3 linked regions of the Arabidopsis thaliana genome follow. The protein of the gene in region 2 interacts with the protein of the main gene of each other region in a pairwise test. Each region holds a gene or a part of one and is shown on either strand. Other genes may lie near its edges. The genes, in order: AT1G10820, AT2G38090 and AT1G68160.

Evidence for each region.
Region 1: the proteins of AT2G38090 (region 2) and AT1G10820 interact in a two-hybrid assay, tested with the Arabidopsis thaliana proteins (one study listed by BioGRID).
Region 3: the proteins of AT2G38090 (region 2) and AT1G68160 interact in a two-hybrid assay, tested with the Arabidopsis thaliana proteins (one study listed by BioGRID).

What each region holds. Positions count from the first base shown.
Region 1 is NC_003070.9:3,597,843-3,609,648, reverse strand, and holds AT1G10820 (hypothetical protein (DUF3755)), read left to right. Parts: upstream 1-4,590; 5' UTR 4,591-4,860; intron 4,861-4,965; 5' UTR 4,966-4,998; coding exon 4,999-5,213; intron 5,214-5,627; coding exon 5,628-5,727; intron 5,728-6,593; coding exon 6,594-6,650; intron 6,651-7,189; coding exon 7,190-7,295; intron 7,296-7,398; coding exon 7,399-7,481; intron 7,482-7,671; coding exon 7,672-7,733; intron 7,734-7,839; coding exon 7,840-7,936; intron 7,937-8,155; coding exon 8,156-8,212; 3' UTR 8,213-8,739; downstream 8,740-11,806. Other genes in the region: TIF3H1 (translation initiation factor 3 subunit H1), read left to right, coding at 1-41, 128-194, 468-601, 687-735, 872-943, 1,034-1,135, 1,221-1,288, 1,474-1,626 and 1 more; Z-ISO (15-cis-zeta-carotene isomerase), read left to right, coding at 2,200-2,610, 2,688-2,834, 2,939-3,148, 3,578-3,913; AT1G10810 (NAD(P)-linked oxidoreductase superfamily protein), read right to left, coding at 8,892-9,227, 9,323-9,425, 9,515-9,687, 9,772-9,972, 10,059-10,280; AT1G10800 (voltage-gated hydrogen channel-like protein), read left to right, coding at 10,781-11,491; AT1G10790 (hydroxyproline-rich glycoprotein family protein), read right to left, coding at 11,802-11,806.
Region 2 is NC_003071.7:15,939,601-15,949,580, reverse strand, and holds AT2G38090 (Duplicated homeodomain-like superfamily protein), read right to left. Parts: upstream 4,999-9,980; 5' UTR 4,304-4,998; coding exon 3,858-4,303; intron 3,257-3,857; coding exon 2,806-3,256; 3' UTR 2,485-2,805; downstream 1-2,484. Other genes in the region: AT2G38100 (proton-dependent oligopeptide transport (POT) family protein), read left to right, coding at 1-164, 248-1,097.
Region 3 is NC_003070.9:25,542,605-25,553,455, forward strand, and holds AT1G68160 (ZZ-type zinc finger protein, putative (DUF3755)), read right to left. Parts: upstream 6,291-10,851; 5' UTR 6,022-6,290; coding exon 5,741-6,021; intron 5,639-5,740; coding exon 5,539-5,638; intron 5,148-5,538; coding exon 5,091-5,147; intron 4,950-5,090; coding exon 4,832-4,949; intron 4,289-4,831; coding exon 4,206-4,288; intron 4,127-4,205; coding exon 4,065-4,126; intron 3,990-4,064; coding exon 3,920-3,989; intron 3,615-3,919; coding exon 3,564-3,614; 3' UTR 3,154-3,563; downstream 1-3,153. Other genes in the region: WRKY9 (WRKY DNA-binding protein 9), read left to right, coding at 1,366-1,644, 1,723-1,857, 1,942-2,226, 2,311-2,424, 2,700-3,011; UMAMIT23 (nodulin MtN21 /EamA-like transporter family protein), read left to right, coding at 9,291-9,484, 9,557-9,619, 10,379-10,495, 10,591-10,840.

The sequences.
Region 1 (11,806 bases), on a different chromosome or scaffold from region 2:
TGTCTGAGGGAGGTTAATGTTGACAACAACACTGTTGGCTGGTAGGTTTTTTAATGACATCAGTCTGAGTTCACTTGTTAAATTTTTTCTTGTGAATGTATTTAGATCTGCCTAATTCTTTGTTCAGGTATCAATCTACAGTTCTTGGTTCGTATCAGACTGTGGAACTGATTGAGACCTTCATGAATTACCAGGTACTTTTTTTTTTGTTAAAGAATCCTGTCTACCATGTCATTATAACATTCTAGATTTGGTCTGTTCATATGTTATGCTCTTCATTCAGCTGGAAATTTATATGTATAGCATGGCTACTCTAGTGTATGATAGGTATATTGGCATGTGTAAAAGTTGAATGTAAATTGGATCATGAATATATTTTCTGAGACTTTTTTTGTCCGCAACTCTGTTACAATCCCTTGCAGAATCATGATATGAACTCTTAAGAAATGATTCTTCTGCATCTACAGGAGAATATCAAGAGGTGTGTGTGCATCATATATGATCCCTCTAAAGCTGATCTAGGCGTCTTAGCTTTGAAGGCTTTGAAGCTTTCAGATTCCTTTATGGAGTTGTACCGAGGTGGAAACTTTACTGGCGAGAAGTATGTATCTTGATCCATTGAAAATCTAGGTTTTATGAGCCACTTAGGATGATAGTTGTAACGTTTTAATCACTATCTTTTTCAGGTTGAGAGAGAAAAATTTCTCCTGGATGGATATTTTTGAGGAAATACCTGTAAGTCTCTAGCTTTCTTCTATATTGAATTCTTACCAGCTAATCTTTTCAAGTCACTAGGTTGGAATTGTTACCTAATTATATTTTCCTCTGACAAAAAAAGTGGTTTAAATGTTTGTTACTTTTCCTTTGACAGATCAAGGTTTCAAATTCTGCCCTTGTCAGTGCCTTTATGACCGAACTGGAGACTGATACACCTGTCTCACAGGTACAATACTACTATCTGGATAGTGATCCTTGCTTGCTGTCAGCATTGCAGATTTTGACTCTTGATACTTCTGTATTTTCGCCTTTCTAGGGCGATTATGATCGTCTACACTCATCAACCACTCCTTTCCTTGAGAACAATATGGAGTTTTTGATTAAATGCATGGATGATTTATCTATGGAACAGCAAAAGGTGTGGTTTCTTCTGCACTCTTGTTCAATTCTCATCATCAGAAGTCCGAACTATCTTAACGCAAAATCTTAATTTATTTCTCCAGTTCCAGTATTACTACCGGAACCTGTCTCGTCAGCAAGCACAACAGCAAGCCTGGCTCCAGAAGAGAAGGTAGGTTTATATTTTCTGCAGAACCTTTTTGTTCTAGTTCAGGTTTGATTAGTTTCACTACCTCGTTATCTTGGAAGGTGATACAACTTTACTTACGAGAGTTGTGAATGCCTTGTAACATTTGTCTTCAGCTTTTCCTTGTCCTTTTGATCTTCCAACTAATGAAAGAGGTGTTTGGTTTATAGAACGGAGAACATGGCTCGTAAATCAGCTGGAGAGGAGCCTTTACCAGAAGAGGATCCTTCAAACCCAATCTTTAAGGCGATCCCTGAACCATCTAGGCTAGAGAGTTTCCTCATCACAAACCAAGTCTCAAACTTCTGTGGCCAAATCAATGGGTATGTTCCTCTTTAGTATTGTTTCACCATTTTTGGAGCTTTGAAAGATACTTAAAATGAGTCGACCTGTTGTTATGCAGAGTGGCTGGCCAGAACTTCAGCAGGCTTTACCTGACCAAAGCATTGCACGACAACTGATTGCAAAGACTACCCAAGTTTTTGTTTTTTGAGTCAGAAAGTGAAAGACTTGGTGGTAGAATGGATCCTATATTTGTTTTTCGTGGATGTTTTTGTTTTTATTTTTGTTGTTGTGAAGTAATTTAATTTACAAGCTTTTCAAAAAAAATCTTTATTCTTATGCATAATGAAAAATTATTGAAGTTTTGAAAGATTTATCTTGTATTGGACCTCTGATTGCCTTACAACAAATTATACATAGTTATCAAAATCCTAATCAAAAGAGTAAAAAATCTAATTTATAGAGATTTTATTATAGTTGTAGTGTTAGTTCCATCGCTAAATCCCTTGAACGACAACGTTTATTATTTCTTCTTCGGACGATTGTTTGAAGAAATTTAAAAACGACATCTTTTTATTACTTCCTCTTCGAAAGATTGTTTACCAACAAGAACAATGGCGGTTTATCATCTCCTTCTCTCGAGCCCACCTTCGCTTCTTCTTCTCCCTCCTTCTCCTCGCCGCCCTAACCTCACCTTAATCCGCCGTATCCCAGCTCATCCTCGCCTCGGAAACTCGACCAGCTTGCTTTCTTCTTCGTCACCGGTAATTCGGAAAATTCTGGTTCGTAGCACTCTCCGGGAAGACCAACCCATCGCCTCTGACTCCGAGAGTAGTCCTACTCTACTGATCGGTGAAGATTCTGCTGCTTTTGAATTAGGGAAACAGAAGCTTGTTTCCTGGGTTTATTTCGGTGTTGTCCTTGGAGTTGTTCTCTTTATCCTCAATGTTGTTTGGATCGATAATTCCACCGGTTTCGGAAAATCATTCATCGACGCCGTCTCTAACATCTCCGGCTCACCGGAGGTATAGATCAATTTAACAGTAACTGAACCAGTTTCAATTTCAGTTATTTGATTGTTAAAAACCACTTGTTTTTGCAGGTTGCTATGTTAATGCTTATCCTTATATTTGCAATTGTACATAGTGGTTTAGCTAGTCTAAGGGATATAGGAGAGAAACTTATAGGTGAACGAGCATTTCGTGTTTTGTTTGCTGGAATCTCTCTTCCTTTAGCTATGAGCACCATTGTGAGTACTCTCTCTTCTAACTCTGCAATTTTTCTCCTGATCAATGGTATAAATACCTGTTTGATGTCTCTTATGGTCTATGCAATGCCTTGTTCTTCTTTCAGGTTTACTTTATAAACCATAGATATGATGGGTCACAGTTATGGCAGCTTCAGGGTGTTCCTGGAGTCCATGAAGCTATTTGGGTCGCTAATTTTGTATCCTTCTTCTTTCTCTATCCTTCAACCTTCAATCTTCTGGAGGTAGCAGCTGTTGACAAACCGAAGATGCATCTCTGGGAGACCGGCATCATGAGAATCACTCGACATCCTCAGGTTTTGAACATTTCCCTAATGTGCCTAAACATGAAGACAATTTCCTTCATTTTTGTGTTTCAAAAATACAGAAAGATTGGATTTTTATGAGCCAAGGTTTATTAGTGGCTGTGTTAATGAGACCCCCAATCATTGAATCAATTATGGGCAGGTATTGGCCATTGACTTAAATACACCCATTACATCAGCACAATCAAATCTCCTCATCCTTCTATGTTTATTACATCAATGCTTGATTACTTTACTTGATATTGCTTTTGATCTTAAAATTCTTATCCAATTGCTTCATCATGTGTTTGGAAAAACTTGATAATATATAGAAAGATAGGCATTTTAGCTTCAGTTTTGGTTTGTTCTATTCTCTCTTCATTATACTGGCTTTGTTAATGAGACTTGATTGTTGCACCTCTCTCCTCTGATCTTCTCCAGATGGTTGGACAAATCGTTTGGTGTTTAGCACATACTCTCTGGATCGGAAACACAGTAGCTGCATCAGCTTCTCTCGGTTTGATTGCACACCATTTGTTTGGGGCGTGGAATGGAGACAGGAGATTGGCAAAAAGATATGGAGAGGATTTTGAAAGCATCAAGAAGAGAACAAGTGTGATTCCATTTGCTGCCATTTTCGAAGGACGGCAAGTTTTACCTGAGGATTACTACAAAGAATTTGTCAGGTTGCCATATCTTGCAATCACTGCGTTAACGGTTGGGGCATATTTTGCTCACCCGCTAATGCAAGGTGCAAGCTTTAGGCTTCATTGGTAAATTATATGTCATGCTTTAGGCTTCATTGGTAAATTATATGTCATTTATGTTTGTTTGTTTCCTGCAGTGTTCATAAAGACTTGTTAAGGAACAAATGTATACAAAAAGCCATATTGTTTGTGATACTTGACTCTTCTTCATTTCTCGATTATTTTGGCTCAACACTCTGTAACCACTATGTGTGAGTTCGATCCAACAAGTGGGTTTAGATTAGTATTAACTAGGAATGTTTAATAGTACTGCTAAATGAATATTTAGGTAAAACTATTTTGTATATAAATTCCCACTCAGATGTCATGGGTCACTCTGACGCCTACCACTATACTAATAGAAGTAAATTTTTCTTTTTTCGATGTTTAGTTACAATCGGAAAATGAATCTAAATTTTAACTAATATTAATAATATGCCAAGATCTCCATCCAAATCTAGATTGATATCTACATATTGATGCCTTGATATCTCTAAACTCTAAAGATAAACTTAAAGGCAAGTGATTAATTGTTAACTAAAATTAAAAATTAACAATACAATTTTAATTCGCTAGTTATAAAAATTTTATTACCAAGAAGAATATGGAAAAAAAGGAATTGGAGGCAAAAAAAAAAAAAAAAAAAAAAAAAGAGGCCAAAAGAAAAGAAAGCAAAGGAGTATGAATACAACAAAGAGGTTCTGCAAGAAACAAACAACACAGCCAATTACTACTAAACAAACACACTCTCTCTTTCATTCTTTCTCTCTCTCTCTCTCTCGATTTTCTCCCATTGGAGTTCGCAATTAGCTGCCACTCTCTGATCGATCTTCTTCTCACATCACATCCTTTATAATCTTCAGTTCTACTGCTCGGAGGTGTTTGCTTGCGTTCTCTCTTGTCGGTCACATCCCTAATTACCATCACTGCCCCTGATTAAAGTTTTACTCTATCTTCTTTGTTGATGCCAAATCTGAGGTGGGTTTCTCATCTTTTTATTCTTTCAGCTGTGTTTTGTTTCATTTATTTGTTTCTGGATTTGCTAAAACCCTAAATTTGATATCTTTGGGGGCATCATCGTAGCTCAAATCAGCTTCAATTATCAAATCTCCACGAATGATTCCAATGGATAATCACTGCTTGCCAAGTACTAGCACCACCGGTCTTGTATTCCCGACCAATTACGGTGTTAATGCGATTAACGCTTCCTCCGGTTTTCACCCAGCTGTGGATGCTTCGGGTTCAGTGGCTGCAGGAGTCAAACAAGAAGCTGCTTTGGTTATGGATTGGTCCGTTGAGGAACAGTATGTTTTGGAGAACGGCCTTGCAAAGTAGGTATCTTCGTTTCTGCTTAATTCTTTGGATATTTCCATTTCTTATTTTTTTAATATCCTAAATGTGTCTTTGTTCATTCGTAGCTTTTCAAACTATGCTTATATTTTTACAATAACAATACATAAAAGTTGAAATCGGGAATTGTTTTATCAGAAAAGTAGTAGTGGGAACATTATATTCTCAATGGTGGACTATTAAAGTATGTTCCTTTGTTCCTTCTGATTATAAAAGTATCGCCTTTGTGTGTTCCATGACATTGTTTTCTGGGACTGGGACCATTAGTAAGTTCGGGTTAAGTTATCGATTTTCTAGCTGAGGTTGTTCCTGGTTACTTTGGTTTTCTAGAGTCTGTAGCTTGTTTGTTCTATTTGTTTGCATTTATGACATCTTTATTTTTTTTCCGTTTGTAGATTAAAAGATGAACCCAAAATTTCAAAGTATGTAAAGATCGCTGCAACTCTACCGGATAAAACTGTAAGGGATGTAGCATTGAGGTGTAGATGGATGACGGTAAGTTGGTTAAGCTTCCTTGAGCTATGTGCATACTTCCTGTTGTTTATGTGCTTTTGCTTAGATGACAAGAAAAATTACCACTCTAGACGTCTCTCAAGGATATTTCTTTTGCTAGGGAATTACTTAGTTGTCTCTAGCATTCCTTTTCAAGTGGTATGTGGCTGTTATGGAAGGATTTTTGTTGAAGGATATTTCTGTCACTGTTAAAAGCATATGCTAAATATGAGGGAATCAGCATGATGATGCAATCTTGCGTGTGTGCTTTGTGATAAAGATAAAGTCCTACAAAAAAAGCTAGCGGTTTTATTGATGAAAAGTCATTGACATGTCGTAAAGATTGTCTAAACACTGGTAAAGGACGAGCAAAAAGAGAAAATGACAAGTATTGCTGACGCTAGATTAGTCTTTATATTAGCTTTCGAGTCCATGATTGTGGAGGAATTATTGGAAAAGGAAATAAGCCTAACGCTTTTTGTTAATTATTTCTGTAGTTATCCTCACATAGATTTTACTTTTACGGGTGATGGCTGAGACTGATCCCTATACTTTTATGGTTTTTTTTTTAAAATGATTATATTGCTCGCAGCATGAGTTTACATACATCATAATGTTAATTGTTTGCATAATAATGAAATGAATTAATGAAGTACAAATGTACAATGCTTTATTATCATCATATTTCCATCTCCTTCATGTCTCTGTCCTTTCATAATTGACTTGAGTTTTCAATCAGATATATGATGTAATCAAACATAAAGCTGCAAAATTACTCCGTTTTCTTTTAATTTAGTGCTTGTTTGCCACCAGATATCTATCATGGTCTTTAAAGTTCTCTTGGCTAAGTCGGGTATCTATTTTCACAGAGAAAACGGAGGAAACGAGAGGATAATAATGCCGCTAAGAACATTAGCACTAGGAAGGTATGCTTGCCCACCTCAACCTTTCTTGTGTCGTATTTACCAGTTAATAAGTCGATGGAGGTAGGTGCCTCATTTACGTTTTGGGTTAAACGGGATTTTCCCACAGATGTGACTTTTATTCATGCAAGTCTGAGCTAACGATGGTATTTTTCAACGAAGAAACTGTAATTGGCTAAATTGCTTGTATGGTGGACTTTTCATGAGAACATATTTTGTTAGTTCCTGACTAAGAAAAAGGACTGTCTGCATGACTGGACAATCAATAAAGTTTGTGATCGATTTTTCAATGACTGACGAGCAGCAAATGATGTTGATCCAACTCTGCAGAAGTATTAGCATATATTACTTATGAGTATCTGAGCTTGTGGGCATGTTTATAATGATAATTATAAGGTAATCTAGTGATTGTTATGACATTTGATAAAGGGTTAGTGTGTGTGTTTCATTTCATGCACATTCTCCTTCCTGGGTCTTATGAACTTCTGTAGATCAATATGCTTTTAAACTTGGTTCTAAAGACCATGCTTCTTCATGGTAAGGTGGTGGATACATCCCCAGAACTGAACATGCTATCCAATGTGCCACAACAAAATGCTTTATATGTCCTGAACAATATGTGCCACAGTACACGCACGCCTTTCGAAGGTCTAGTGCTCTTTTAATTCTTTGCTCTTCTTCTGGGTTGTGTGGTCTTAAAAATAAACAAAATCAAATTGTCAGCTAGGTACTTTTGTTGAACTATTCGCAGGTTTAAGTGACGCAGTAATGGATCTTCTACAGCAAAATGCTCAAGCTTTTAGTCAGATTTCTTACAACCTCTCTGCGTGCAAGGTAATTTATACTTGCAATCCTTTGTGGCTAGTTGTGCGAGAAGATTGACAGACTGAAACTGTCATACAAGTTTGATCAAACATTGTATACCAGATTTCCTACATGCTCAGTTATTCTTTAGAAAATAATTTGATACTGTTTCCTTTTGCAAAGTAATTCGCACATAGATATGCTAACTTAGTGCATACAGCTGCAGGATAACATCAGTCTCTTTCATCAGGCAAGAAACAATATCAGCGCCATTTTGACTGAGTATGTGGATCTAATACTAATTCAATTTTCACAATTGAGACATCTCATCTGTCTTCCTTTCTATAATTTAAACCTTCAATTGCTAAATTCTTAGTTTCTTCTGCAGCATGAAGGAGATGCCTGGAATCATGAGTCGGATGCCGGCTCTACCGGTTTCAATTAATGATGATCTTGCAAGCAATCTATTGTCGAGTACAACACAGGTAATATATTTTGCTACATATGTCAAAATAGCTAATCCTGAAAAGTTCGCCATGTGACCTCAAATAATTAGAGCTTCTTGACCCAAAAAGTGAAACATATTAAGATATAAATATGAACATAGAAACCATTAATGTTTTTTAGTTTTATTGATCTCTTGAGGATTTCTCTTGGAAGCTGGCCATGCCTGATGTTTAGTGGATTGTTTCCCTGTCTCACAGCCAATATCGTACAACATTCCACCAAGCATCCACCTGAAGCAAGAGCCAAGAAGTTGATGGGGAAATCCGGATTTTGACCGATACTAAAGTAAATAGTACAAGAGCCTGGTACGTGGCAGTATTTCCGTGGACGACATGGCAATGTTTATCAACTGCAGACACCGCTTCAGAACATGAGATTCAACAATCAGTATTGGTAAAATCCTTTTGCCCTCGGGTAATTTGACAGAGAAGAATGAATTAGACTCCTTCTAAAGCCAAGGTAAAACTCTTTGATACGAACAAAATGCTTTGGCCGTAATTCGATCATAGGATTCCTTGCAATTCGTAGAAGACGGCATAGGTTGATAGAACTCAAAAGTCTTTTGCTGTAATCTTCTTGTTGAGGCTTAAATTAGTATAGTGACAGTTCTTTTGAGTGGTATTCAGAGGCCGGTTATGTGTAACACAAGTTCTAGTTAAGGTAATAATTTATCATCCTCTAGGTACGTATACGTTATCTTCATGGTTTAAGTCGTGATGTGACACAAATCATTGTATATACGCATTGTCACCTGTCTCAATTCATTGTTATAATGTTTGCAGAATCTTCAGTCCTTATTAGAGATTTACTTTTAAAAAGTTTCATTAATTTCAGACAGAAACAGACAAACAATAATGTAGCTTAAAGACGATGATGAAAAGTAGTTCAGAACATAGCTCAGCACGATGGCAGAGTAAAACTATTACAGATGGTTTATGAAGTCCAAGAAGACAGTGGTGGAGTTTCAGAATTCTTGTAAGTAACTATATAGGTGGCTGACCTTTCCCCTTTCACAGAATCGGGATGTCCCATGGCGTCAAGCTCGGCCATCTCTTCGATACTGAGTTTCACAGATAAAGCTCCTATGTTCTGATTAAGGTTTTTGATCTTAGAGGTTCCTGGGATTGGGCAGACATCATTTCCTTGGTGATGAACCCATGCCAAAGCTAATTGTGCAGGAGTACAGCTTTTCTTCTCTGCCATTGCATTGACCTTCTCATAGAGAATCTTGTTGTGGTCTAAGTTCTCTTGCTGGAATCTCGGTAAACCCTGAAATTAAGAGATGGTGAATGTGCTTAATACTCGGCTCTTTTCTTGAATGTACTTAAAAGAGATGGTGAACATTCATATAGTGATGGACTTGCCTTTCTGTAGTCACCATTGTCCATACTCTCAATGAATTTTGGTCCTGCAGCAAAGAACCCCAGTCCCAGAGGACTGTAAGCTACAATTCCAATCCCGAGCTCCCTGGAGAAAGTAATGCAAAGAATGAACATTACAAGAGGAGGATATAAAATTATATCAAGGAAGAGGGATGTTTGCGGAAGATTCTGCACCTGCAAGTAGGAATGATGTCTTCTTCAACGTCTCTCGACCATAAAGACCATTCCAACTGCACAGCGGTTAGCGGGTGAACAGCATGGGCTCTTCTTATAGTCGAGGCACAGGCTTCAGACAAACCAATGTACTTTATCTTACCCTCTTCAACTAGCTTCTTCAGTTCTCCAATCTTTGAAATGGCAGGACAAGACAACACCATAACAATCAGCTGAAGGATTCAAGAAAGAAGAAAGATTGCCAAGAAAAAGCTTACAGTGACTTCAATGGGGACAGTGGTATCGATCCTATGCTGGTAATAAAGATCTATGCAGCTAACTCCTAAACGCCTTAAGCTTGCTTCACAGGCAGCTCTCACATAGGCTGGATCTCCCCTGTAACCCAATTTCTGATCTTTCAAGAGAAGCCCAAATTTGGTTGCCAATTCCACCTTCTCCCTCATCCCATCTTTCAAAGCCTGATTACATTCACATAGCCAAGCAATTTCAAATCCTAGGCAACTCAATAGTGTATGAACAAACATAGGATATCTCGAATTCAAACCTGACCAAGGAGCAACTCGTTGGTCTCAGGACCGTAAATGTCGGAGGTGTCGAGGAGTGTGATGCCGGAGTTAATGGCATGGTGAATGAGAGCAATGAGATCTGTCTCAACCTTGGTAGTTCCATCGAAGATGGAAAGTCCCATACAACCAAGACCTTGCGCTGACACTTCAAGACCTTGGCTTCCTAGCTTGATCCTACGCACTCCACTTGCAGCTGCCATGGATTCAAATCTCTCCAAGTTTTTAAAAAAATTCTCACACTTTTGCAATCAGTAAAAGAGAGATCTAATTTGCTATCATAGTCAATGCAACAACGAAATGGAAGTCTTGAGAAAAAAGGCTCAAAATAAAGTTGTCCACGTTGAACTAATAATAATGAATTCTCTCTGCATTCATGGCGTCAAAGACGGAATAGTCTTGTAATAAACTTTACGTTATTTGCAGTATTTTTGATATATGTAACTTTTAATTGAAAATCTGTTGGTCATTTGTAGTTTGAATTTTTATCTTCAAATTGTGTTAATAGGATTGTCTTTCAGATTTGGCAAGTGTGTTTCTTCACTTAAGAAATAAATAAAGCTTGTATCATATCTCAACCTTACTTGCCTTTCAAGCCATCTTTCCAAAAATAATTAATTTCCTAAAACTGTTTAAAATGGTTGCCTTCCTTTAAAGCTCATATCATCATCTATCAACAACTTCCAAAACTTTTCATCTTTTGATGAACATCATCAACACCGGAACAGTTGATAATGTCGAATTCTCGATCCAAAACCTAATCAAGAGTTGGTGCAGACGACGGAAATGGAGGCAACTCTGCAACTTCTCCCCAAAACAACAACAAGAAGAACTCATCTCTATCAACCAACAATGGAGAATCACTTTATCAAACTTCCTAGAGTCATACCAAGTTCACCTTTTCACCATCTTCTTGCTCTCTCTTGACATCATCTTAACGTCCCTCGAATTATCTTCTTCTCTGCTATCCTGCACATCAGTCAAGAAAACCGAAACCGAAAATGAATGGTTTCGTTGGGGAGGAACCGTGATTCTGAGCATTCTCGCCGTTAAATCCATGGCTCTGGTTGTTGCTATGGGGAAGTCATTCTTCAAACAACCTGGATGTGTAATGGATGGTACTCTTGCGATTGTAGCTCTGATTCTCCAGGTTCTTCTTGAGAAGAAAGGAACCGGGTTCATCGTGGTGGTGAGCTTGTGGCGGGTTCTGCGGGTTGTGGAGACTGCATTTGAACTTAGTGATGAAGCCATTGAAGTGCAGATAGATGGAATCATCAGCCAGTTTCAAGCTCTTAGTAAAGAGAATAGAACATTGCTGGAGACTCTTGCAGAGAAAGATGAAGTAATTAAGATGCTAGAGGAAGAGCTTAATCGATTCAAAGAAAACGGTGATATTCCATTTGTGAAACCATAGGGAGGCTATATAAACTCAATATGCAAAATCTGAAATTTTCTGTTGTATTAATAGATTACTTTAAGCAACTAAATCAAAGAAGTAACTAGTAAACTCAAGCTGCATCTCATTAGAATAAAGAACTTTGTTTCATACAAACTCGATGAGACAATTAGTTCTAAAGCTAACTAGATCCTGCCAAAACCTACTCTAATATATTAGACAAGAAACATTAATAATACGTCCTTGCCAAAAGAATTATTAGGTGCCTAAAATAGGTAAAGAGAAACTGCTTTGCCAAGTTTGGTAAGAAGAAGCTTCATAGTAAGGCTCAAC
Region 2 (9,980 bases):
TCATACAAACGGGTTAAACCAGGTGGGAGCCCTTTGACAACGGTTTTCCGGGTCTTTATGGCTTCTGCTTCCAAAATGTCTTGTGCATACTCGAACAACTCAAGCCAGCTCTATGAAAAAGCTGAGTGTGATCAAGATATTAAGCCCCACACAAGCAGCTTAAGGTTCAATAAAAATTCACTTCATTAAGAGTTGTTAACCCACACTACTGTATAACACTCGTAACTCTTGATTTTTTCAAACACAGGTATCTAGATAGAGCTGCAATGATACTCCAAACAGAGTCTTTGGAACAACAGAGGAAAAACAGATGGAAGCTTTGTCGGGTGACAGAAGTGGAGCAAACGAAAAGCGTCATACGCACGGTTCCTTTGTTTGCGACATCTCTCATTTCGGGGATTGTCTTCTCTCTTGGTAATACTTTCTTCCTTGAACAAGCAAACCATATGGACTCCAAGTTCGGATCATGGAACCTTCCTCTCCCACTCCTCTTACTCTTTAGTGAAGCTGCAAGGCTAGGATCCCGAGAACTATGTGTCATGGCTGCAAAACGCCATGCCATTGACTTCCCTGAATCACCTAAACAAACCAAAACGCCTTATGGTATACCAGTCTCCATCATCCTATCGATATTTTGCTGCTCCATCGCTGCACATGTTGAGTCTAGGAGGCTCAAAGTAGTTAGTACTCAAGGTTTACTACATGAAACTGTCCCCATGAGTGTATTCTGGCTGCTCCCACAGTACATTCTACTCGGTTCAATCACAGGAATCTACGAAAACAGCTTTGCGCTTTACCTAGAAGAAACGGTGCCTGAAGAGTTGAGCCAATACATGGTTCTATTAAACGTGGGAGTGTGCGGGGTCGGGATCATGAGCAACATTGCTCTTGTTAGTTTGGTGGGCAGTGTAAGCGGAGGCAAATGGTTTCAAGACACAATAAACAAGAGCCGGGTGGATAACTATTATTGGGTTATAACAGTGTTTTGCATGTTCAATCTCTTGTTATATTTCATTGTAACCTATAGGTACACAGTGTGTAACAAGAAAGATGGTGCAACACAAGAAAATGATCGAAGGATAATCGCTTCTGTGTAGTACTTGTGTTGTGTGCCCAATGTTTCAATTATACATGTATGAGGTTAGATGAGGTTATTGCGTTTGTGGCTTCGGAAAAACATAGAAGAGAAATTAAAAAGGAATTCTCTCAATGTTTTTGACCAAATCCTCAAATCATCTTCAGGCAACTAAACCATGTTTGCACACACATTAATAAACCAAAGACTAAATGGGACTGGGACATCAGCTCACTTTAAAACTGAACCATTAAAACCTTCAATGACTTTTAGAAACAAATAAAGTAAGTTATGACTTAAATTGGAGGACAAGATTTAGAAAAACAAATCGAATTTTATGGAAAATAAAGAATTTAGTCCAAAATAGATTTACAAGAATAATTGGGAATCAACGGTCTTCCTTCAAATTCAAATTTGCAATTACATGGAGATACTTCTCGTATTACTCACAGTCACAAGGCATCAAAATGGAACCCACCGAACATCAAGTTAAAGAACAAATTCACTAAAATTTTGAAAGTTTCCTAAATCTTAAAAAAAGTAACTGCAAACTATTATTCTAGTTAAATAATCAGAAAGTCATTTTAAAGCCTGATACCTCTAAATACCATCATTATCTTTGCCTATGTTCGAACCCCTTTGATGAGTGTTAAAATGTTGCTCTTATGAAAATCACATTATTATTTTAGTATCTATCCAAAGGTTGGAATAAAAAGTTATTTTCTTCTGAATCTAATTGTACTGTGTATGGTTGGAAAGAAGATACAATACAAAAGATGAACAAAAAAAAAAAAAAAAAAAAAATGTTAATTTCCCAAGATGAGGATTTAAAATTGCCAACTTGGTTGAGGAACAAAAGCATATCAATCATTGTGGCTTTTTATTTATGGTCTTTCTTTAGACTCTCTGTAGATTCTCATTCTCTTGTCAACTTCGAACTTCAGACAGTCCTATTAAATAAAACAGTTGGGAAAATAAAAGTAATTGAAAACTAAATTCTAATTACATAAGAAAAAGGGTTTAGATGTATGCTAAGTGAGAAAGCGTCATTATCACCACAAAGCCAGGTTTCGATTACACATTTGTCACCACAACAAGTTAAATAATCTTTGATTAGTGGAAAACCCACTTGGCACTTTACATACTTTTGGCTGCTTATTCATAAATAGATAATTCATTCTATACCAGAACAACCAATTTAAAACTGATTTTTACTTTTATTTTTTGTAATTAACATTTTACATTTAGACATCCTACATATTGTTAGCCTCAATTTTGACACTGAAACTTGAGAGAGTTCAACCATTATTAAAACTAAAATTTGGCACACAATGAGATAAAAAGAGAAAATGGAAAGTGGCAAAATATCTAACAAAGATTTAAAATCATAATTTATTAATTATAAATATCCACCAACAAGGAAAAATACTGTAATGAAAGCCTATATGACAGACACAGCATAGATTAATAAGCAATTTGAGCTCAAAAGAGTTCCAAATCACAAAAATAAATCACTCAAGTAATTAAAATAACAAAACCTAATTAATTTGCTGAAAACTCGTTGAATCAACCACGGAAAAAGATGGTAAACAAAACAACAAATAAGTATCTCGTAATAAAAAAATAGCAGCTAATTTTGTTTTTTGTATATGCACGCCGATTAAGAGAAAAAACAAAAATTATTAATGATTATATAACTCGTAACTTCTCCGAGATCTTCACCTTGTGAGCTACATTTGGAGATACGCATTGTACGATTCGAATTGCGATGCGTTCAGAAAACTCTGCTCCTGAAGTTTTGCCATGTAGGGCGTCGAAGACATTCCAAGTAGCGTTTCTGAAAACGCGTTTTGATTATAAAACGCAGCTGCTGTTTCATCGTATAGTGTTTGACCTTCCCACTCCGATGTCTCCCGCTGGTTTCCTCCTACGGAAGGTGGCGAGCAAGGTGCGTTTGCGGTTGCGTTATCCGCGGCTGCAGCGTCAGGAGAGTCGGGGATGTTGACGGTTGTGATATCATGGATGCTTGAACGGCGTTTGTCTTTGCCACCATTGACTTGCCGTATGAAATACTTTTGAGCGTGACTTGCGACTTGCGTTGGCGTTCTTGTGGTCACAAAGTTACGAGCTATGTTTCTCCAATCTCCTTTTCCATATTTCTTCAAACCCATCAGAAATTGTCTGCACATTCATTAACCATACCAAAACCTAAATAAACCAAATCGACTCTTAACACATATACAAACAACTAAACTAGATTTTATAGCCAAAATAAAAACTCATGTTTATACTAATGTTCCATGTCCCAGTACAATGTCCATGCGTGCAAAACAAATAACCGCACCAAGACACCAATGAAACCCATTCCACACATCAAGAGCCTAGAAGAAACAAATTTTATCTGCTCTGTATATAGTTTACTAATAGATTTATTAACTCGATACATAAAAAAAGGGTAAATAATTTTTTTGAGATTAACATAAACATGTAAAGTATCTACTCTACAAAATAATGTGTGTGTGTCTGCCTCTCTGTCTAACCCATACGTAGGTCATATAGACACGCACTAAAGATACAATTGTTTTGGTGGATGACTGTATAGTTTTAATTTTATAAATTACATACGTATATATATTTATACGATATGCGTATCTTTATACGTATACATAAACACGTTTCCAAGAAAAAAGACGTACGTATTTTTATAAAAGAAAGTGTAAAGGGGTCCAAATCTAGAGAAGAAAAGCATTGACGTTAACGTAGAGAGATGATTTAAGTTTACCTGTGTTCTTCTTCTGTCCATGGAACACCTTTCTTCCTCTCATGCTCCGCCGTTCGTGCGGCGGATCCTCTCTTTCCTCCGGCGGCGGAAAAGTAGTAACCGTTCATGTTAAACCCATTGTTACCGCTTGCTCCGTCGTAGCCACCCCAATCAAGTGTGAATGAATCAGAGGCGTAACCAGGGATTGGTATAAGACCAGCTTCGATGTCGCTAACGTCTTCCTCAAGCTCTCTGTATTGTTTGATCACATCTCCGACTGTTTTACCGGGAAGCATGGCAGCGACTCTGGACCATCTGTCGGGAGTATCTTTGTCGTAAAAGGCTAAAGCGTTTTCGAATTTCTTGTTTTCTTCAGCTGTCCATTTGGTTCCTCTGTTTTCTTGAAACAACCAGTTTGATGTCTCTAGATATGTTGCTGGTGACATAACTTCGATTCCTCTGTTCATGTTTTCAACGATTGTTGATCGAATCAAGAAAGAAAGAAAAAAACAGAGTTTTCGATAATGGTGGAGCTCAAACAGAGAGAGAGAGAGAGAGAGAGAGAGAGAGAAAAGTGGGAGATATTTGATCTGTCAAAATGGCATTTATTCAAATGGAATCTGAGAGAGAAAGAGAGATAAGCATCTAAAGCTTTGAAGAATCTAAAGAGGAGATCAAAAGAGAGCTGCTTTTTCCAGACTCTAAGGACAAAAGATAGATTCGATCTTTGAGTTTTGTTGTCTGAAACGATAAACCTCTCTTTAGTGGTCAGATCCGAATCCAGAGAAAATGAAAGCAAACAGAGAAGAGAAAACAGAGGATCTAGGATTTGGACGCTTTCTTGAAAACTGACAAGAAACCAAACAGAGAAATGGAGAAAACTCAGGTGGGTTTAGAGATTGAAGATGTTAAAGTGAACAAAATCCAATCTTTTTCTTCTTCTTCTTCTTTCTCCCAAAGGACCCAAACTCTCAAGTCGAAAAGGGAGAGAGAGATATAGAGGGAGAGAGGGGAGAGAGATGAATATGAAACAGGAATGATCTGAGAGTGAGAGGTGAGTTAAAAAGCTGTTGAGCTGTGATTGTCTTTCAGTATTTCCCAGACAAAAATTTCTGGGCTTTTCATTATTTTATTATTCATATTAAGATCTACGAGTTTTTTTAATTTCTTGATCACTTAAATCTACCAATTGGGCTTCCCTTCAAAATATACTAAACGTTATTGAAATTAAAATATATATATAAAGAAATCAGATAATGTAACAATTTTATGACTAAGGATAAATCAAACGGTAAAAATGTGTATAAATGAGAATGGCAACAGTGCTTAATTAACAAAATCTATGGTGTTAAATTATGTTACAAAACGTTTGTGAATAACGACACAAATAAAATACGATGCTATAGAAAACAATGTTGGTGTTGATGTATAAATTATACAATTTTCTGATCTAATTTTCTTAGGTAAGTATTCCACATCAACATAGTACAAGTACTATTAGTATAATTCAATTCTAATTAAAAAGGTTTCATTTCAAAGTGAGATTAGTTAAATATCAAAAACATTCTTTTTTATGTATTTCTTTTTCTTTTCGTTGTACCTTTTTAATTCAATCAACCAATAAACACTCGTCCTTGTATAGTCTATGATAGACCATCACATAATTCAGGAAAAGACAAGTGTCGTCTTTGAATAGGCAAGTCACACATGTTCAGATCTCATTTGTTCTCAAGGAACTTTGTTTTTTTTTAATACATTTTTATGCTTTCGAGGACCGTTGATTGATTTTTTTTCTATTAGTATTTATTTTTGTTTTATCGATGAAATTAATAATATGACTCAACTAATAGGAGAGGGGTTTTGCGGCTAAACGTTGCCTAATGATAGGCCAAAGACGTTTAGAGATTAACCAATCGCAGACTCAGACAAGACACACAATCGAGGAGCATCTCCCATTGGCTAACAAGATTTAAGGCGGTTATAAGGGTACTTCGGTAATTTGCTATTGGTGTTGACATTTAACCTTTTGGGCACATGAGTTGTTTGTTTGTATATCGAGATACTTTCTCTTTTTTTCCTAAGGGGAAATGATTTTGTGACAATGAAACGTTTAATACTATATAAATTTGGATCATAATCTCGATAACAAAAAGCATTGGAGAATGTGGTTAAACTAGCATGCTAGGAAACATAAAGGGGCATATCCTATCACAAACTATACTTATCTACGAAAATATGAATTACAAAATAAATAAATAAAATGAACTACAAAATTTAGTACAATGCCAAAATACGTATAAACTACAAACCCTAACAAAATTTTACAAAAATAGTTGTACTCATCTAAATCAATATTGATCTAAAAGGCGTTAATTTTTTGCATTGACATGTGACAGAATAAATTGCACAAGAAATGGCAATAAATATTTTTAGGCGTACTATTTGCTAAACCGACATTAAAGAACTGTCAAACAAATATAATTTTAATATGCAATGATGATTCCTTGCTTAGCTTCTTGGTTCAACGGCCACAGCAAAAAATTCAACATCAAGGAAGTAATTAAATAGTATAGTAAATGTTTAGTGATCATAATTGTGTGTCTAAGATAACAAGGTCGTAATAATGGAGTTTAGCGAGAGAGAGGTCGAACCTTAATTATTAATTAACGTATGAAATATAATCATGATGATATTCTAACAACATTTTTTTTTTGTTGTGTCTGCACATTCTAACAATATCTAAATTCCAAAAACTGGTACTAAGGTTTATTATGAGTTATGACCATAAGAATTTACGTAGCATATATATAAGATGATTTTCCGAAATTTCAAGAATAATTTCTTTATAGGAAATCTTTAGAGTTAAATCAGTTTTTTGTTTTCTTTTTGTAACTCGACTAATTTAATTTATGTATAGTTTACTACTATAAGATTAATGTATATTCGAAACACATTATGAACGGCAATCACACAAAACGTAAATTAAATACATACTGAAATGCTAATTAATCCTTCAGATGTTCCTCATAGACTCGTATCTTGGGACCACGCTTACTTTTCTTTGTAAATTACACTAATGGATTTCTTAAAACAAATAAACTGTCATGATTTATTTATAAATGGGTTAGGTAGCTTAAGTGATCACGCCATAACAGACACAATAATTCTTGAAAGTGTTAAGAATTTTTATTGTTATTAATATATCGCAGTTGAGAATTCACCATGTTGATCTAATATGAGACGAGATGAGTTTTTTCCTCTGTTTCCATGTTTGTAGCTGTATATATATATTGTGTAGCTAGAAACATGGTATACTACAGACTGAAATATTAGTCTGATTTGGATCAGTTCAAGATTTACCCTTTTATAATAAAATATATATTTTGGTTACAAAACTAAGAAATATAATAAAAACGAATGTCAAATTCAAAATAAATGTGGTTTACACAGTGCCCTCAACAAAATGGGTGGCAGAAAATAGTTGAATAATTATAAGACATTGTTTTTATGTATTTCGAAGATTATCAGATGCAAAATAAAAACTTCAATAAAGTATGTTACCAATGCTAAAATTTTAGTAAAATTTATCAAAAGTTCACAATGGATGAACAAATTTAAATTTAGATTGTATATATAAATTTTTGGAATATTTTCTATAGTAAAACCATTAGAAATTTTAGACTTTTCTAATTATAGAAATATTTCGTCTCAAAATATTTTATGCATAAAATTTCAAGATGAAAATATATATTTCTACCAAATTCGTCTATAGTTATTTTAGAACGTGCCATAATTTCAATCTAAAAAAAATAAAAATAAATCAGTCTTTTTGAGTATGGTGAATTGGATCCAGCTTCATTAAAGTTTGAACTTGAATTGATACATAGTCTAGTAGTTTAATGCATCACCACTTAAATTATCATCTAAACTTCAATCCACATATTATCAATTTTTGACATGATAAAAATCTTCAAATTACCATTCCGTGCGATCCTAATTCAATGGACGACGTTAAGTAGCAAAGAGCCTTCACAGTATATCGAATTTTAATTAAAAAAAGGCGCCAGATGTTTTTACATGTAAATTTATATAAAAAAACAATAATATAATATGATGCTCTGTGCAACTATAATTCTTTAAATATCAGAGTTGTTTAAATAAAATGTCAGAGTTGTTTGTCCACCACTCACACCCAACACACGATTATTTTTCTACTAAATACTAATAGGGTCAATAAAATATTAAGTAAAGTTATTAGACGTTTTTTTAATTGGAGTGGTGCAAGACAATGACTGGTTTTGTTATGAATATTATTAATATCGTGGAGTTTCCCCAAAGGGAAAGCATCTTCTATTTCCGAATGAGGATACTTTTTTCTCCTCAATAATTTATTTTGTTATTAATAGATACATGTAAGTAAATATACATAATGACTATATTTCTTTATTTATCTTAAATACAGATCTCAGACCTTTTTAGGTTTCTTTTCTATATTTTGGTGTTACACAATACTTTTGCTAATGGTTTAGCTACAAAGCCTAAAATCATCTTCTTGCCACCACCACCTATGTAATATTTACATAATGATATTTTACTTCATTATTTATTGTTGTTGGTTAATTAAAGTTTAGTCTATTGCTCCTTACTACTGTAGATCTTATGAAACCAAAGAAAAAAAAAAGATTTTAGGCAAGAAAATTCATACTATTTGTTTCTTTGGTCGCCAAAAGAATTCTCTATTTCCAAATCAATATACTATATATGTGGCCAATAAGGAAATTTTATTCATTCGATGTTTTATGAATTTTCTATTACACTGATATTCTATTTTAGAAAAATTAGATAATACAATTGATAATAGTTAAAAATACATTTTATATTTAATAAACTATGGGAACTATGGGACGAAACAAACAAATGGGTAACATTTATCAAGTTGAAATTTGGCATGTTAAGCCTTTATCAACCTAGACACAATTCTCTGTAATTAACGACGTCAACTTATGATCCATACTCTCATGCTTTTGACTTCCAATATTAAAAAATAGAAATCAAACCTATGTATTTAAAGTAAACTAAAAAAATACAAAATAGACAATCAATTCGTTACAAGTGTTATTGAAAGAGTAATAAAAATTAATATTTTAATAATCTAAAAATGGTTGTACAAAAATACTTTGTTCTTACAATACTTATTTCTAGTGGTTGATATTTTTCATATCTTATAAAAGTGTATATGTGTTTGACAAAAAAAAAAAAAAAGTGTATATGTAATAAAAATTCGGTACGGTCATTCAGAAAGTGGGTACTATTTGTGACAGCAAAACAATTGAGGTTTGTTTCATATTATAAAGTAATAGGATTAAAATAAATATCATATATATGAGAGGCAACACAAAAACGACACGACGTTGAGAGTAAATAGGAAGCTCTGGCAAACAGTTTGACCCACCGGAGCGACAGCAAAAGAATGCGAGCGTGCCTGTAGGGCTCCCACTCATAATGCGCTCCACACGCTTTGTACATTAGTGGCTTTGCACAAATCATTTGTTTCTTTTTAAGTTTTTATTACTTTTTATAATATAGACTTTATATTATTATAAGTTGGAACCCATATTTTACGTTTCAAGTATGTGATACTGGGGCACCAAGCAAATAACAAGATTCTGATAGTGTCTTTTAGTCAACGAATTTTTTTGTAGTTTAATTTGTCATTTAATTTTTACTTATTTTTATAGAAAATACATGGAAACATCTTAAATTTATTATATAAACGTAAATGCTATTCCCTATATTTATAAATGATGTATTTTTTATAAAAATTTCTTACAAATGCATCATTTACATATTTCTAAATGATGTATTCGTTTAAATTTATTAGAAAATTAAAAGTTAACTATAAATGCATTTTTTTGTGATTTACAATTTTTAATAACTTAAACGAATAGTTTTCAAAAAATTATATTAAAGTTTTAATTCATCGATAACACTAATAAATATTACATAAAAACACAAATAGATTGATATCTCGGATCCTTCCAAACGTTAATATAACTACGAGATTGGATACACAAACCTATATCTCCTCGTAAGTACAAGATCTTGACGATTTTGTAATAATCTCGCAGTAGACAAATGGAGATA
Region 3 (10,851 bases), on a different chromosome or scaffold from region 2:
TAGTACAGAGCTGATAATTTTGTTGATAAAGTTTTTGGCAAGAAAGAAATTAAGTTAATAAAAGGACAGTTAGTATGAAAATAATAAAAATTAAAAGTCTTCTAGTTGACTATTTTTAGATCCGATCCCGAGGCAAGTATCTTGTTCTCGGTATTTTTGGTACGAATTATTAATTGCTAATTTGAATTTCACGTTAGTGATTATAATAAAAATAAATAAGATATCACATATAGACATCTTCTTAAAAGCACACTAACTAAAAGAAAAAAGAAAAAAAGAGACATGTCAAGTTTCTTTTATTTTTGTGTACATGTCAAGTTTGTAAACCATAGTTTATTGCTTAAATAAATCACATAACGCTTAAAAGAATCCAAAATCCGGACTTCACATATGTCACACATATTCTATCAACATAACCTGTATGTACATCGAAATCATAGAAAGAATATTTTAGGTTAGCTAGTAGCCTAGTACTAATGGGATAAATGAAATTAGTTATCCTTCTCTTAAAGATGAATCCTTGAGATCAAGAAATTTTGTGAGATTGTTCAACCAAACTAACAATAAAACTTATATTATTTGATACAATCTAAATATAGAATCAGTTAATTCTTTCTTTTTTCTTTCTCATATATATTTATGATCTCATAACACCAATTTGACTTTAAGAAGATATCTATTGAAATTTTCAAAACAACTTTAATAGGAAAATTCAAAATATATAGACAGCGCCATATTCTAGAATATTCTTACTCATTATGAATTTTTGAATGTTTTGATTTATAGACCTATCTATGATGTTGAATTGAGTAAATAAAAAGTTTAATGGTGCGTTTGATCTCACCCATCTTTTTCTTTATTCAGTATTCAATCTTTATAACTCTACCTTATTCGAAGAGATGAATTCATCTAGCTATAAACACATCAGTGACAAGTTTAAAAAAAATATCTACACGTTCGATGGTCTTCTGTATTTCACATGGTACCATCCATGTGAATGTGATGGGAAATTTCGCAGACCCTAATGCCGGCCATAAACTGGATTTACAAAACTAAACAATGTAATACAATTTTCAAAGAAACCGGATCTAATTATCTTATTGTCACTTAATAAACAAACTATATAAGAGAAGGGGAGGAATATATGTATACACTTTTTTATGACTACTAGGATGGTAACCAAAGTCATGATTCCATAGTAACTCCGGTTTAATTGCTTCAAAGGCCAAAACTAAGCTCTTTATTAAGTAACATGGATTAGTTTCTTCATAAAGATAAAACTAATTATTTAAACAAAGTCAAAGCTAGCTTTAGATGCGTACTAGAGTGAATAATACAAATAGTAAACGATATTCTGATCAGAAAATGGGATTTGACTTTAGCACTTCAAAATCCAAAGCTAAAAGACAAAAAAGAATAGAGGTTCGATTTGCATCTCCATTAATGGGCATCGATCTTTCTCTTAAGCTCGAGGCCGAGGAGAAAAAGAAAGAGATAGAAGGATCGAAACATAGCCGTGAGAACAAAGAAGACGAAGAACATGATGCTAGTGGTGATGAAGATGAACAAATGGTGAAAGAAGACGAAGATGATTCTTCTTCTTTAGGTTTAAGAACCCGAGAAGAAGAAAACGAACGTGAAGAGGTACCTACATGCGTATATATACATACATCAAAACATTTTATGTGCGAATATATGTTAACATCTATGGATGGCGATCAGCTCTTGCAGCTACAGATCCAGATGGAAAGTGTGAAAGAAGAGAATACTAGGTTGAGGAAGCTTGTCGAGCAGACTCTTGAAGATTATCGTCATCTTGAGATGAAATTCCCGGTTATCGATAAAACCAAGAAGATGGTGAGAAATTATTTCTTCATACACGTTATACATAGTGGTGACTGGTGATAATTAATATGAAACTTGATTGATGTTTTAACCTAGGATCTTGAAATGTTCCTTGGAGTACAAGGCAAACGATGTGTGGATATAACAAGTAAGGCTCGGAAAAGAGGAGCTGAGAGATCTCCGTCAATGGAAAGAGAAATAGGGCTTTCACTTTCTCTAGAGAAAAAACAGAAACAAGAAGAGAGCAAAGAAGCTGTTCAGTCTCATCACCAAAGATACAATAGTAGCAGCTTAGATATGAATATGCCACGTATCATTTCATCTTCTCAAGGTAATAGAAAGGCCAGGGTGTCCGTGAGGGCGAGATGTGAGACCGCAACAGTGAGTTTCTTTATATCATATCTTGGACTCAGTTTGGAGATTGGTAACATGATCATTTAATAAGAAAGATGTGTGTGTGTGTAGATGAATGATGGATGCCAATGGAGGAAGTACGGTCAGAAAACCGCGAAAGGGAATCCATGTCCTCGAGCTTATTACCGATGCACCGTGGCTCCAGGATGTCCCGTTAGAAAACAGGTAACTGCACACACCCTCAAATTCCGGGGTCTTACTATTTATTTATTCAAAGATAAGATTTTATGTTAGGGAACCATTTTGATCAATTTACTGATAACGTAGTATTTTATAGATCTTCCAACTCAAAACGAATTGGTAATGAGTTGATTCGTCTATGTACTTTATATATTACTTTATGTCCAATGTAGAATTCATAGCATGTCATAACCACATTTGAATGGAATGAAACTATGTATATATATATAGTTGATAATGAGATTTGTTACATTGTGAAGGTGCAAAGGTGTTTAGAAGACATGTCAATACTGATAACAACCTACGAAGGAACACATAACCATCCACTTCCGGTCGGAGCAACAGCCATGGCTTCCACTGCCTCTACTTCTCCATTCTTGTTACTCGATTCCAGTGACAACCTCTCTCATCCTTCCTATTACCAAACTCCTCAAGCCATAGACTCTTCTTTGATTACATACCCACAAAATAGCAGCTACAACAATCGAACCATAAGAAGCTTGAACTTTGATGGTCCATCTAGAGGAGATCACGTTTCATCTTCTCAAAACCGATTAAATTGGATGATGTAGAGTTTCCTATATCTCTATGCTTGTTCTTTGGTCCCATTATTTGTCATTATGGATTCTTTGCCTTTCTTCTTGTTCTCGTTTCTAACATTTATGTTTCGTATATACAACATCGAAGGTTTCGGATTGTTTTATTTCGTTCAATGTTGGCTTATGAAAAATAAAGATTGATTAATGCTAAGAAAAAATGGGTACCAAAACAACACACCAAAAGATCAAAAGATTAAAGATGCAAATCTCAACACGCTCTTCAATAGAATCTTTTTTTATACACATCGATCGCTTAGAAATTCTCCAAGACACTAATTGAACTAAGTTTATCTAATAGAACTTGTTAAGAAGGTTTTTTAGTTAGGAGCCAGGACCAAGAACCCCTACATTCGTTATATTATGTCTTGTTTCAACATCCCGCGCAGCAATAAAGATCGTTGGTGTTACGAAAGAATCACATTTCTACAAACTTCCCAACATTTGATGAGCTTTTTTTTACCTCCTCCAGCTTCTTTAGGATAATTTACAGGTAACTAAGGGAAACCAGATGATTTCCTAAGACTTCTACTTCCTATGGAAGCCGCCACTTTGCATCGTATTGAATGGCATCATCACCTGGTACAAATCGAGGAAACCAAAGTCATTGATATTGGGAAGCTATTATTCTTCTGCTCTATTTGCTCTTGATAGACATTTCTACAAACCAAAACATTGAAAAACTGGTCTTAAGATACTCAGCTAGTTAGAAGCACAATAATTCTATATTTTGAGCACTTGAACCAGAGATATGGGGTTTGAACTACGGTAGTGTCTGAGGTAAAACAAGCAAATGGGTGATGTGGACATTTTGATATCTAAAACAATGGACTGTTAATGCAAAAGTGAGCAGCCTATTAACTTACTAAAGTAGTATTACTCACCGAGAGATCATCATTGATTGTGACTGGCAATGGTGGCATCTTGTTCATCAATCCAGGCATATTATTTATCCTGCCAAATCAAGACAACGTCTGGTCACTAAGCTCCACAAAACTTATACACAAAATGTTTAAAGTATCAACTTACTCATTTTGGATGGTGATAAGGTTGTTCCTTGCCTGACGAAAGAGATCTAGGTTATCCCCTGCCTGTTTGCAATTATCATTACGGAGCGGTTTTAGCAAGAACACATTTGCATTCCTTTAAACAAGGTAATCTAGAACTTACCTTATATGAGGAGAGATTAGCTCTAATTTGACTAAAAGCTCGTACATTCTGTTCTATAAGATTTGTTGCATAGCTACTTAAATCTGAAACAGAACCACGAAAGAATCAGTAAGAAAAGAAAAGAGACTAAAGATTATTGTGACTTCAACAAAACTTCATATGAAAGAGAGCTTAAAGGATCATCTTTACAAGGTAATAGGATCAGAGAGCGGACTTAAATAGAATTTCACCATTTAAACATACAATAGTCATTATACTCCTTTACTAGATGTATGAAATAAATAATCTCAAGAATGCACCTCTAGAGAAGGACAATGCAGTTAAGAAACCAATTTCAGTATCTATGGGTAAAGGCTTCTTCCAAGACTAAACTACTTTAGAGACGTAGTTATGTTAGCATCGTCCCAAGAAGCTAAAAGTCTAGCTGAAATACACTAATCCCCTATGAACTTATTTATATAACAAAATACATACTTAAACGACATTTGCACCATAATACATACATCAAAACGTATTGCCTCCTTTTGAAAACAAAATATGATGTTAATGTGTGCATGTCAATGAAAAAAAAGACCTGGAGTTAGCAAATTCAGGTGGAAATCTCTCAGATAAAGATAGATGTTAACCTTCAGACGTAATTTGTTTACTGGTGCTTGTAGATGGCCCTGAGAAAGGATATGAAGCCATGTTATGAGGCAAAACAGAGGGAATGCTTGACTTAGACGACGATTCCACCTGCTTGCCCTGAAGAAATATAAATCTTTTAGTACAAAAACCTAAATTAATCAAAAGATATTCAATCTCAATCCTAGCATCATCTTTCAATCGAACTTACAAAAAAGTCACTCATCAAAATTGAACAAATGGCAAGAATTTCCAATATACCTTGCTAGAACTTGCTCTTCTTCCACAGTTTAATTCTTCTGATTTTCTTCTCTTTCTCTATGCAAAACAAAGTCAGTACATCAACAGACGAAGACAAAAGGTAAAAGTAAGAAATGATTCAGTATATAAGAGAAGAGAAGATTTTGTTCAAAACTCAAAGACTGTTATGCTCACTATTCTCATCTCAAGAACTCAATATTGATACAACTCAGGCATCAATAAGACCAAAAAGTCCATCCTAAGGCAAAACCATTTCATTCTGTGTACTGTAGTTTAAGAAGCTATGTATGAAATCAGAACATGTAGAAACTGTTCCCTGTGTATCATTTTTCTTTGCTATACATATATCATTCATGGCATAAGCGTAGAACTACATGACTGAAAAATGGTCACAAGAAAGCTACAAAAACCGTCAGAACAAGGCAGATATGTGAAGAGAGATACTTACCCTCAGCCACCTACACCGCAAAGCAATATCTCGAATACTTTTATCAGGTAAAGTGTTTCCAATTTGAATATACATATCAATACTTGGCATATCCTTATATCTACAAAAAACACAGAATCAGATCATATCAAATTCCACAGAACAAAAAACTATCTTCATATCCTCATTAATGTTAAGAAATCACAAAACAAGAAAGACTCACTTTTCAAGACCAGCATCCAATATGTATTGTTCTTCATTTGACCATTCACTAACCATGGAAGTATCAAGCTTTAGACCAGAACCCGAATCGGAACCATTCGAAGAATTCCCGGTTTGAAGAAAACCAGGAGAACCAACATTGATCATATTCATATTCATCCCCAAGTACGGACTCATTGGAGTCATCTCCGAAGAAGTGTTAGATTGGAAATTAATAGCGTGACGACTCATCATAGAACTCAAAGAATCGAACCCAGAATTTGATTGAGTAGCCATCCACATAATCGAACACAAACCCAAATAAAAAGATTAAAACTTTAACAATTAGAAATCAAACCCAAAACTCTCCTTTGATCAGATATGAAAAAAGGATCAAACTTTGAGAAGGTGAATCATCTTACGCCATGGATAAAGCTTGGAACTTTATAAACCCTAAGTTAAGTTCTCACAAAGAAACCAAAATTTGATTTTGTTTACCAAATCACAATTTTTTTTTTCTTTTTTTTTTTTTCTCTTGTCCTCTGTATATTAGACAGAGCAGCCTTGTAAGCTATAAGCCAATGAAGGATTTTTAGACAAATAATGAAAAAATTATTAATACATTACTTTATGACTTTTCACCATATTGATGATAAACTTAATTGAAATCTAATATTAATTATTTTCCAACACAATTAGTTGAAATGGAAAAAAATGGATTTTGACTATAAAAGTAAGTAGGAATGGGGAATTTTAGAAAAGATTCTCTTCCTAAATTGAAGGGAGAGATATGACTAAGAACATATTCATTTTTTTTTTTTTACTACCAAAATTAGTAGAAAAAAATAAGAAAATAGGTAAATAAATAAAAGAGATGGTTGGCAGATCGTGGAATTTAGTAAATAGTGCGAATCCCAATAATAAAGCATTTGATGCCTTTCTTTCTTCTACCTCACTTTTTTTATTCCAAAAAGTTTTATCAAGTAGACAAGATTTTTTTTTTTTTTTTTTGTTTTCTAATAATGTCAATGTGTGACATCCTCGTTGTCAAAATCTCAAGATATATGAATTTGATTCATATTTTTTCTTTATGTTAATACAAAAATTAATCTTAGCATCTCAATAATTGTGGGATAAACTGATCCGTTCGTACAATACTTTTACAATTATATGCGACTATGAAAATAATTGGACTCATAGTTATGAACCAATAACAGAAGCAAGCATATAAAAATCGATGAAGAGTTTTTTTTTTTTTTTTTGATATTTAAGAAATTATTGATACACTAAATAGATCAAGAAATATATTCATACACCAAAATGATGTTTTGATTTCTGTTTTTTTTTGTCAACATTTATAAGGAGCGAGACTCGATCCTCGATGTCATGTTCTCAGTGGACTTATCATTTGCAACAAGACTACTATCACTTAACAATTTTGATTTCTGTTTACTATCTAAATGCCATCAGCTTTTATAATTTTCATTTTTTTTCACTAGATAAGTTAGGTTTTTTAAAATTTGTTATTAACTCACACTTCAAATCTTATCAAGATTTTACTAAGGTAAAATTGATGTACCGTCGTTTCTTTGTCGTTGCAATTTTCCTCGATTGATGTATGCTCTATTAGTCCAAATTCAATTTTCATTATCCCCAACCCGTATAAGTGAATTAACATAAGCTTCTGGTAAAAAATGCTTATCAAATGAAACATGTTAAAAGTCATGGACACTTAAACATATTATCAGGCCTGACGTTTATATTGGGCCACATGCTATATTTGTAAAAGACTAATTTTATACGCATTTAAGATTTTGCTTAAGAAACGAATAAATTTGGGCTCTAAAATGCTATGAGCCCAATAAACTGCACATTATACTTGCTCCACTAACAGTAATACAGTTTCCTTTTTTTTGGTAGGCTAATCTGAACAGTTTCCTAATAATGCAAATCAATATAATTAATTAAAGATTTGTTTCATTCAAGTTAATTTAACTCCGAACATTATGTTATGAAGAAGAGAAAGACTTTGTTGTTGGACTTGATGCACTCTTTCGCTCATTAAGGTGATCCATACATTTTAATTTCAAAATTGTTGGCAGGAACTAGATTTTGGTTTTACTGATTTACAATGTTATTAACTACAAAAAAAACAAAAAACAAAACAAATAAGTTATCATATCTATCAAGTCTCAACTATTAACTTGTGGCCTTAGCATCTCCAAATTTCTACATTATCCCTGCTTTTGGTTTCTTTAAGACTTTAATCCCAACCTTAATTCACAGTTTTTTTCTCATATATATAGTCCTCATCATGTAAGTAAGTCCTAGCTAATTTTGCTGAAACCACTCTCTCATATTAATTTTTCGTAATATGTTTAGAAATTAGAAAATAAAATAAAATTAGAAGCTATATATAATTAAAGTTTGTTCCACTAAAGAAAATCTCAAAAGTGTAAAATTGTCAGAGATAATTCATCTGTATAACTTTAAAGTAACGGTGTATACTGAGTTATAACACACAACTGACGTACGTTACTAGAACTATGTTCGTGAATAGAAATAAAGATGAGATTCCTTAAAGCTAGATAAAAAATCAACGGCCAAGGTGAAGCATATTTTCATAAACCATGCATGCCTACATGAAACTACTTGCGACAGACACTAAACAATTCGAAACACTTCGTATTTTGGAAAAATAAAAACTATTGATGGGCTACAAGCAGAAAGCATGCATCGCACGTGTCAACAGCATCTGAACACGTTGCTGGATTCTCTTTTTGTTCTTATGCATTCCGATTTGTATATAAACGTGAACGGTGAACTACTTTTTGGACAATTTATACTTTTTTTTTCTCTATCTTTAAACTAGTTTTGTAACAAAATCACCCACTTACACGTACACTATCTACGTAAAGTGGAGTGCAAAACAGTTCATATCCGTGGAGGTCTAGTAATTTATTTCAAGAAGTTCTTAAATTTATTTTTTTGGTCAGGAAATTTAGAATGTTCTTATCACATTATTCTTAAAATGCATTCGTTATGTTATGTGAATGCACTAGCCAAAAATAAATAAATGCAACTACCATCATTGGTTAATATTCATGAAACTTTTTTTTTTTTTCATGAAACTTATATATCTATTAAAAGTTTAAAACCTTATTATACGAAATGTTTGAGAATCTATTATCTGTCACCACCCGTTTGTGACCAGAGAGTAGATTTCTAAAGTGTTTTGGATAAGTTTAGTGTTTTAGAGTATTAAAAAATTTAGAAGCACTTTTCATTAGACTCTATATATGACATATCTATAATAATATTCCTGAATTTGAATTTAGCATCTACTTATATCGCATAACTCATTTATGGTACTGAAATTTAGTGGAAAACAGCTAGTAAAAGAGAAGTATTGGTGTGATAAATAAAGCTCAGAGGCTCAGGATAAGTCAGGATTCCTTAACTCATTTTAGCTAGCCTATCTCTCTCTTTCTCTCTCTCTGTCTCTCCCTATATATAAATCGATAAATAAATGAGTGTGAGGTAATTAAGGAACTAGAAAGGAATAAGAAATTATGGAGAGAATATGTGAAATGTGGAGAGAAATGAAAGATATAACGGCAATGGTGGTGGTTCAAATAGCTACGGCAGGGTTAAACATATTTTTCAAGCTAGCAATGGAAGATGGTATGAACCCAAGTGTACTCGTGGCCTATCGTCTCTTGTTTGCTACACTTTTCATGATTCCTATATGCTTCATCTTTCAAAGGTTGTTTTTCTTTCACATAATATGGTTGTGTTTGTATGCTTTGATATTAATTAACTTCATGTGATCGATTAGGAAGAAGAGGCCAGAGTTTACATGCAGGCTGATGTTACTAGCATTACTCTCAGGGTTACTCGGGTACGTAATAGTCACACACACACACACACACACACACACACAAAACGAAAAATCATTTTTCGTTTTTTTGGATGTCCTCTTGTGTCCTAAGGTTATATATATGTTAACTTTTTTGTGATAAATTTCTCAAAATAAACCATTTTATAATATACGAAATTGAAAAAAATAATCTATATACATGGTTTGAGTGTTACAGAAGTTTAATGCAAGACTATAAAATTTATATATTCCTATATATGTTCAAATTCGATTTCCTATTGGTTTTCAAACATATTAGCCACTGGCTAGGTAAGTCGTCGGATATTTTAGCTTAGGTAGCATGAGTTGAATTTAGTTCTTACCAAAATCTCCTCACCACAAAACCACAATCCAGAGCACACTGGTTTTATAAAACGTAATTAATCTTCTAGAGTTTAATTTTACTTAAATTTACTTTAAAGTTAAAAAACGTATACTTAGTCTGAAAAACTTAAAATGTACCAAAACATAGAGAACTCTAGAAGATTATTTGAACGTATTCAATATTATTATCTAACATTCAAACAGGGTAGTACTTAGTAGTTTTAACCATTCTACTCAATATTACCAACTAGTGGTTTGACAATAAAAACCAACATGTACCAAAAAACATAGAAGACTACGTTTTGGCTGAAAATACTAGTTGATAATATTGATTATCATTAGTAAAATGTAAAATTGTTGAAGAATATATATATATTGGGATTATAAGACTTCTTTAATGTGGTGATAATTGAACAGTGTGGTGATACCAAGTATCCTAACCATTACGGGTCTAGCTCTAACGTCAGCAACATTCACCTCTGCTGCTGGCGTTCTCACTCCATTGGTCACTTTCATCTTCGCTGCACTTCTTAGGCAAGTCTAATCAACGAATCACAATTTAGTTAACCCCTTTTAATATATGTTTATACCATTAAACAAAATATAATAAACTTTTATGGGTCTCATAGGATGGAGAGTGTACGGCTTGGATCGAGCGTAGGGCTGGCTAAGGTTTTTGGAACATTGTTTGGTGTTGGTGGAGCTCTTGTCTTTATATTCTATAGAGGAATAGAGATCCGACTATGGTCAACTCACGTTAACCTAGTGAACCAACCACGTGACTCCTCACGTGATGCTACCACTCACCATATTTCCATCCTTGGGGCTCTTCTAGTTTTTGGGGGAAACATTTCCATCTCACTTTGGTTTTTATTGCAGGCAAGTTTTTT